Linked DNA regions of Macaca fascicularis. The protein of the gene in region 2 interacts with the protein of the main gene of each other region in a biochemical or structural test. Links are inferred from orthologs where the notes say so. Each region holds a gene or a part of one and is shown on either strand. Other genes may lie near its edges.

Region 1 (4,402 bases), about 1.7 Mb from region 2:
AGAGACAGGCAACAACAAATGCTGACAAGGATGTGGAGACAAGGGAACCCTTGTACACTGTTGGTGGGACTATAAGTTAGTACAACCACCGTGGAGAATGGTTTGAAGGTTCCTCACAAAACTAAAAATAGAGCTACCATATGATCCACAATCTCACTGCTCGGTGTACACCTAAAAGAAAAGAAATCAGTATATTGAAGAGATATCTGTATTCTCATGTTTATTACAGCACTATTCACAATAGCCAAGGTTGGAAGCAACCTAAGTGTCTATCACAGATGAGTGAATAAAGAAAATGTGTTACATATACACAATGGAGTACTATTCAGCTAAAAAAGAATTAGATCCTGTCATTTGCAACGATGTGGATGGAACTGAAGATCATTATGTTAAGTGAAATAAGCCAGGCACAGACAGACAAACTTCACACGTTCTCACTTGTGGGAGGTAAAAAGTAAAACAATTGAACTTGTGGACAGAGAGTAGAAGGATGGTTACCAGAGGCTGAAGGGTAGTGGGGGTTGGGGAAGAAGTGGGGATGGTTAATGGGTACAAAAAATAGAAAGAATGAATAAGAACTAGTATTTGATAACACGACAGTGTGACTATAGTCAATAATAATTTAATTGCACATTTAAAAATAACTAAAAGTATAATTGCATTGTTTGTAACACAAAGGATAAATGTTTGAGGTGATGGATACCCCGTTTACCCTGTGTGATTATTACGCATTGCATGCCTCTATCAACATATCTCATATACCCCATACATCTATATATATACATACTGACTATGTACACACAGACGTTAAAAATTAGGAAAAAACAAACACAACAAGGAGACTGAGCTGGAAGGATGGAGCTCTGGGATAGATTTGTCCTACATCCCTGCCTGGGAGGGAATCCACACACATGTGAGAAGACAAACTAGGAGCATGGGACACTAAATTATACCACATTGCACTCATTGGGGTCACAGGGTTTCTTCCAAGTGACCCGCACTTGCCCATCCCATCTCTCTGTGACAGTGGCACCCGCACCAGACTACATGTTGAAGTGTTATCTGAAATTATGAAATAAAACAGAAGTAAGAGGTCTATGAGCTCATCAAAATGCAGTCATCTAAATTCAGCTGTGAACTGCCAAATTTGAGGAGTGATCTGACAAAACATCTTTTCTTTGCAATCCAAGAAGACTTACCGGAGAGAACTGCTCAGATAATCTGCAACATCCGGTTCCTGGAGGCAGCTAAGGAAAGAAGCAGGGGTGCATGTTTCTGCCCAAAGCCGGGGTTTGGCCGAGGTGACTACACACCCCCTTTCCTGGCTCCCATAGGCTAAGTGCCTGGCTTCTTGAGAAGCCTGCTTCTTGAGAAGAAAAAAGTGATTTAAAGCCTCATGGGAGATGAGCAATCCTCAAGACACAAGCAGAAAAAGTCCCGGTGATACAGGAAGCGGGTTCAGGAACCTGCTGGTTCCTGATACATAAATTAGACAGCAGAGGCAGCACTGCATGACACGAAGCTCGCTCTGCCTAGCGTCTGTGAGCAGCTGCCAGGCTCTGACCAGGACCCCTTCCTTCTCCTCACTGGCTGATGGATCCCAAGGGGCTCCTCTCCTTGACCTTTGTGTTATTTCTCTCCCTGGCTTTTGGGGCAAGCTATGGAACAGGTGAGTGTTCATCTGCCTGATGGTTTGAGTCCCACGTTAGCTGCCTGGAATCAGCATATCTTCGTGGATGGAGAGAAGGTGCAGGGCTGGGGATTGTGTTTGGTCACTCTTCCTTAGGGACTGGCTGTCAGTTTCAACTGCCTCTTTCAAAGAGGAAGGAACATTATGAGTTCCTGGGCCCCTGGGTTTCCAAGACTCAAGCCCACCAGCCCCTTTTCCAAGGAAATGAGGAGCTCTAAGCCAAAGGCTCCAGTCACTTCTCTGACCAGTCTTAGGGTGACAGGCTCTGGTAGAAGTCCTGGTTGAGTGGTTGGTTTTACATGGGCATTTTTCTGGCAAAGATCCAGCCTAGAGAGACTGAGCTGGATGGAGTGAGCTCTGGGAGATGATTTGCCCTACATCCCTGCCCTAGGAGGGAATCTGTGCCCATGCAGCCTGACAAACCAGGAGCATGGGTCAACAGAAAGCATTGGCTAGAATGGGAAGAGAGAGTAGAAGTGAAAACTCCAGGCTTTTGGCTAATAACCAGCAGTGACCACAGTGCGGTCATACTGGTGTGTATTTTCTTGGAAGAGAAGGTCCAAGAAAGCAAGAGGGAAGAAGTTGGGATTTCTGGAGCCTAGGGCTGGTTACAGTATGTGGGAAATGCAAATTGGGGACCCTCAGAGAGTAGCTCCAGCAGGAAGGCCAGACAAGGGCTACCTTTGGATCTGGACTCTGTTCCTGTCTTTCTGGATATCTTCTTCCCAAGGCAAGCTCTTGCTTTCTGTTTAGAAGTATCAGGGCTATGAGAAAAGGTATTTGAGAAAGAAAAAGCCAAGCAAGAAGTGGACTTTGGACTGCCTGTGTGAGTGGGGTGAGAATCTCTTTCTGCTTATTTGTTTAGACTGTGGGAGGTAGCCTGGAGTAGAAGAGGTGGCATTACGGACAGGGGGGGAAATCCTGAGGCCCAGGGTGTTTTAAGCTTGGGGTTTTCAAGACCGCAAATCCAATATGGACTTTTCCAGGAAAAGCACCGAGATATACCAGGGATGTGGGGGTGCTGCACAATGGATGTGTCTTTTACCAGACAGCCAGATGAACAGGGCTTGCTCAGCCACTTCCTTTTGGAATCTGCAGACCCATGGGTCATACTTCCCAAGGTCTAGGAGAGACAGAACTGAGCTCAGGGCTCAGAAAACCAAACTGAACCACTTTAAGTGGTCACAGGGAAAGCCACGCTTCCCTCGTTGCAACCAATTTGTGACTGCACCATTTTTGGAGCACTTCTTGGTGACTGTAAGGAGTGATGGTGCTGAACTGTGAGCTGGACTTTTCCATCTCTGTGCTTGCTAGCCTCTTGGCCAGCCTGGCCCATAGCATCTTAGGCACTGCTGACCAATAGCTGGTCCTACTGAGGCTTTGGAAGTCACCGGTCAGGGAGAAGCAGCCCAGCCCCACAAGGCAAGTCTATCCAATCGGAGGCTGCTCACTTCATTGCATGTTTTCTTCTTTGAATCTTCACAAAAGCTTTTCAGTGTTTTTATTTTTAAATACACACCCTTTTGTGAAGCCCCAATAAAACCCAGGCAGAAATGCTTTGCAAATGCGGCAGGTTAGTCATGACAGATTTGCCCAAGCAAGAAGCTTGATACTTGTAAAACTGGCACCCACTCCCATTCTCATTTCTACTCAGCTCAACTTCTAATTCCCAGTCAGAATTGTAAAAATCAAAAAGTCCACATGTCCCTTCCCCAAGTAAAGTGAATTTTTCATTTCCCCAATGAGATTTGTTTTAATAGACTTTATTTTTTAGAGCAGTTTTAGGTTCACAGCAAAGTTGGGCAGAAAGAACAGAGATTTCCCATATACCCTCTGCCCCATATATGCATAGCCTCCCCTGTTATCAATATCCCCCACCAGGGTGGTACATTTGTTATAATTGATGACTTTACCTCAGTGAGTTTTTTTATTCCTCCATGCAGGTCCTCCGCACCCCCTTCACACACTTTGGGGGAAGGTGAGGGACAAGTGTGTGGGTTCTAGACTTGGCCTAACCTTGTATGTTCAGTGGCCCATTCTATCCCAAGATGTCAATCTAGGCACTTCTATTTCTCAAAAATGTTAATACTGTGATGTCATGTGATGCTGTCACTTTCATTGTCTCCCTCACTGGACTGGAAATCAGAGTATCAGGGCTAATTGTTTTTATCCATAGATTGACTTTGAATGATCCCATTCAGCAGCTATTAAGGACAAATGATGTGGCAGCCACATCATTTGTCAAGGGTGCAAGGGTGCAAGGTGTGGGGAAAACAAAATGAACAACAGCCACTGCGCAGCACCTGACACTTTCTGTACTGAAAGCCTGTACACAAATGTTTGTTGAGTGAATAATATTAGTATATACTGCATACTTGCTTTATACCAGGCACTGTTCTAAATGCTTTATGTGTGTCAGTCATTTCATTTTCACACCAAGCCTATAAGATATGTATGTATTATTGGTACCATTAAAACTTTATAAATGGGGAAAGGGGCACAGAGTAGTTTAGCAATTTCTCTGTGCTCACATAGCCATCTGACTCCAGAGGCCTCAATGAGTGAAACTGGACAAGCCCATGTTTGGGAAGCAGGGGTGGGGAGAATGCCACAATTTGTATCCAGATTCCATGGTAAAAATTAGAATGTGCTATCTATAATTGAAAAATATGAGTGGAATTGAATTGAGATAAATTGAAGTATAGAAATGTT
Region 2 (4,378 bases):
AAAAAGAAAGAAAGAAAGAAGGAAAGAAGGAAGGAAGGGAAGGAAGGGAAGGAAGGGAAGGAAGGAAGGAGAAATGAAAAGAAGAGAAGAGAAAAGAAAAGAGAAAAGAGAATCCCAATATTGATCATATACCCTGAGATCCTGTCCAAGGTCTGTCCTTCCACCTTCTTCTTTTTTCCCTTCCCACTGCTTGCCCCAGCACAACTAGCTGTTCACCATCTCCCGTCTAGAGGCACAACAGTTTCTGTTGCCATCATTTCCCAGCTTCATTGTCTTCTCCATATCAGATCGAAGTTCCTAAATTCACCAGTCTTATCACTTCCCTGCTCAGAAATCATCCATGTTTCCCTGCTATCTATAGAACCATTCTTGTAAAACTCCATTATCTTATCCCACCCTCCTTTTCCAAAAGCTGGTTTCCAAACTACATTTTAGGAACCTTGTATGTAAATCCTTTAAAATAACCTAGTTCTAGACTCCTGTTCCTACCTCCTCCCCTTCATAAAATGCCCTCCATCCCATTTACATGTAATCAGATCTTATCCACTCTTTGTTTATTTTATTTTATTGGAGATGTAGAGTCTCTCTCTGTCTCACAGGCAATGGCGCAATCTCAGCTCACTGCAACCTCTGCCTCCTGGGTTCAAGTGATTCTCATGCCTCAGCCTCCCAAGTAGCTGGGATACAGGTGCACCCACCATGCCTGGCTAATTTTTGTATTTTTAGTAGATGGGGGTTTCATTATGTTGACCAGGCTGGTCTCAAACTCCTGACATCAGTGATCCGCCCACCTCAGCCTCCCAAATTGCTAGGATTACAGGCATGAGCCACCGTGCCTTGCCAATATATATTTTTCTTTAAATGGTACTGTGGATGTAGGTATGAGAGAAATAGCCTGTATCTCCATTACCATTTAAAGAAAGAAATATGTCCCTATGTATTCTATTAGTAATGACAATCACCTTTGTCTATAATCAGACTTCTGAGCCTATTCCAAGGCCCATTTGTGTACTTCCTTGTAAAATCAAGTTTTGGCAAAGAACTCTACTATGTCAGTTTGGCAAGGACTCCTCCCTCACCCTAGCTATCTGATCACTGTCAGATTCTGATCAGATTCCTCATCCTCCACCATCCCCCAGGCAACATCTGATCACCCTGGCCTGTCTTCAGTTACAGTTCTGTTAGGCTGGCTTAGCCAGAATCCACTTTACCCCTGATGTTTCCTCTGAGTAATTTTCTATCTACTGACAGCCACACTGCTCCTTGGCCATAAATTCCCACTTCTCCATGCTGGATTCAGAGTTGAGTCCAATCTATCTTCTGCACCGCAAGAGCTCATTGCAGTGGTCACTGTACCTTTGTGATGATCCTGAATAAAGTCTTCCCAACCATAATTTAACAAGGGACATTAAGCAATTTTTTTCTTTAACAAGAGACACTTAGATTTTAATTTCTGTTACAGGTATAGTAAAAGGTTCAGTGGTCCCTACTTTACAAAGAGGAACATATATAAAAATAGGAGGTTTCTAGTGATTTCTGTTCAGGATTGCTTTCTAAACTGGGCACAAACAAGTTCCTTCAGCTGGGTCTCTTTGATACTGTGGCCTGGAATTCTTTTTTTCTTTTTCTTTTTTCTTTTTGAGATGGAGTTTTGCTTTTGTTGCCCAGGCTGGAGTGCAATGGCGCCATCTCAGCTCACTGCAACCTCCGCCACCCGGGTTCAAGCGATTCTCCTGCCTCAGCCTCCCAAATAGATGGGATTACAGTCATGTGCCACCACACCTGTAATTTTGTATTTTTAGTAGAGACGGGGTTTCTTTTTTTGGTCAGGCTGGTCTCCAACTCCCAACCTCAGGTAATTCATCTGCCTCCGCTTCCCTAAGTGCTGGGATTACAGGAGTGAGACGTTATGCCCAGCCACTCTTTTTACTTTTTTTGGGACAGAGTCTCCCTCTATTGCCCAGGCTGGAGTGCAGTGGTGCAATTTCAGCTCACTGCAGCCTCTGCCTCCTGGGATCAAGTGATTCTCCTGCCTCAGTCTCTCAAGTAGCTAGTATTACAGGCACACGCCACCACACCAGCTTAATTTTTGTATTTTTGGTAGAGATGCGGTTTTGCCATGTTGGTCAGGCTGGTCTCAAACTCCTGACTTCAAGTGATTCGCCTGCCTCAGCCTCCCAAAGTTTTGGGATTATAGGCATGAGCCACCACGCCCGGCCTGGAATTTCATATTTAACTTAGACTCTGGAAATTCCAAATGAGTTTTAACACAAACAAATTATTTGAGAAATTCAGGTCTCTGTTTCTTTACTTATGAAATGGTGACTGCTTATGCTTGCCTCGATAGACTACAAGGATGAAAGGAAATGATGAATATTGAAGTCCTTTACAAATCTGACAAAATGTGAAATATGATTGTATTTATAGTTTAACTATTGCAAGCGGATGCTGCAGAATAAGTAGTCCTTCAGATTGAAACTTCTTAAAGAACCCCTAGCCTTTTCCATACCAAATAAACAGATCTCTGGAGGACAGGACCTCTGACATTTTCTCCATCCCCCTGTACCTTTGCTCCATCCCCCTGCACCCCTATACTTTCTGCAGCCCTTCCCTTCCCCACCACCATATCCCTCCTGCTGCTGCAGAGTCTGCTTGCAGGGCCCTTACACTAGGGAGAGCAGGCAGATGGAGGAGCATGGACAGATACATTCCTGTCCTGGCAGTGTCCATTAGTTCTCACTGTACTCATTGAGACTCCAAAGTCAGAGTGAAATACTGAGGGATATGAATTCCTGTACTGTGTGGCAGCCATTGCCACATTCAACATACGATGTCAGATGTGTGCAAAATGAGGCTACTCACGAGACACAGAGGCACAGGACTCCTGGTATCGACTCGCTGTCTCTTAACAGAAAGTTGCCATCCACCCCTTCCTTGAGCAGCAAGGTCTCACAGTCTTGCTTGGTCAGACGTCCGTGGTAGTAAGGCAGATCCATGGAGAACCCTCTTGTATCCCAGGTAGCCCTGTTGGCCTGAAATTCACCCCCAAGTCAAGGGACAGCTCTGGGGAGAAATGTGCAAGCAGTTGTACCTACTGTGGAAATACCTCTTCCTCTAGTGGTCTGCAGGACTCAGCCAGCTTCACAAGATTCAGGAAATTAGAAGGGCGGGGTTATAAAATGACCAACACTTTTCACCCTCTAAATGGCCCACATGTGACTTGCAGAAGTGGGTAAAGCACATTTAAACACACAATGGAATCAGTGATGCTCATAGCTAGGGAGGCAATGCTGAAGTCAAGCTTCCTGGAACTTGTTGAAGCCTTGTATGTTACCATGGACTATTATCACCTCTGGCTACTGGTATCCCTTCCAGGAAGCACACCACTACTTTTGCTCTAATGGTACCCACTTTCTGCTGAAGTTGCCTAGGATTGGGCTATGCTTGCCTTAGACTGGGTGCTCAAAAAGCATTTGGATGCTGAGAGAATTGATACGCTCAGATACAGTGGGAAAATTGAAAGGGTGGGATTTCCATGGGTCAAATGACACTAAAAATGGAAGACATTAATGGGAATAAAAAACAGTGGGACACTATGCATGAGAACAGCCCATTCCATGGCTAAGGCTCCCAGCCACTGGTGAAAAAAGGCCATTTGAACACCTTCAAGCATTGTTCCTTTTGGAGAAAGGGCTGGTGCAGGTGGGAGGGATATCTGGGTATACTCATACGTCTACAGAAAATCAGTATATATATCTCAAAAATGTTATCTATGAAAATAGAACTATGTGCTAATGATTCATCTTTACTTCTCTTAGCTTCTTCTTCTTTTTTTTTTTTTTCTTCATCTCTGAAGTACCTGGAGATCTTAACTTCTTAACCTAGGTGTTTATTTCACCTTGCTCCTTTGCTTACCAGCTGTTTACTCACACTTGGGTGTATCTTATATGGAACTTACTTGTAACAGATCTTTGTTCTTCCTTGGAATTCCCACTCTTTGCATTTGGCATAGGGTAGTTTCACTGATTGAGGAACTTGTTATCAGAGAGATATGCTCTCAAATAGCAACATTTCTTCTGTGGTTTTGGACAATTCATCATTCAATTCTCTGGAAACTATGGCAGTTGAAGACAGAGTTGTTAATAACGAAAGAAGAAATTTGGTAATTCTTGTGAATAAATTCACAATTGTGGTGTGAAGATGCTTTTTGACATAAGAGAGGAAATAACAAAGCATGCTCAGACTCTTGACCAAGAGGGGCTTGCTTGCCCTTTTTCCTGTTTCAAAATCCAATCCTCACAATAAAAGAAATTCAAATTACCTCCATGCTGAGATAACAATTCTCACCTATCATATTGGTGAAAATCAAAAGTTTGAA

Evidence for each region.
Region 1: the proteins of SH2D1B (region 2) and SLAMF1 interact in a test that uses a peptide from one of them, tested with the Homo sapiens proteins (2 studies listed by BioGRID). The link is inferred for Macaca fascicularis from reciprocal best matches to the Homo sapiens genes SH2D1B and SLAMF1.

The regions. Positions count from the first base shown.
Region 1 is NC_088375.1:100,376,145-100,380,546, forward strand, and holds the start of SLAMF1 (signaling lymphocytic activation molecule), read left to right. Parts: upstream 1-1,511; 5' UTR 1,512-1,593; coding exon 1,594-1,669; intron 1,670-4,402.
Region 2 is NC_088375.1:98,663,774-98,668,151, reverse strand, and holds the start of SH2D1B (SH2 domain-containing protein 1B), read right to left. Parts: upstream 3,108-4,378; 5' UTR 2,997-3,107; coding exon 2,863-2,996; intron 1-2,862. UniProt on the Homo sapiens protein: Cytoplasmic adapter regulating receptors of the signaling lymphocytic activation molecule (SLAM) family such as CD84, SLAMF1, LY9 and CD244. In SLAM signaling seems to cooperate with SH2D1A/SAP.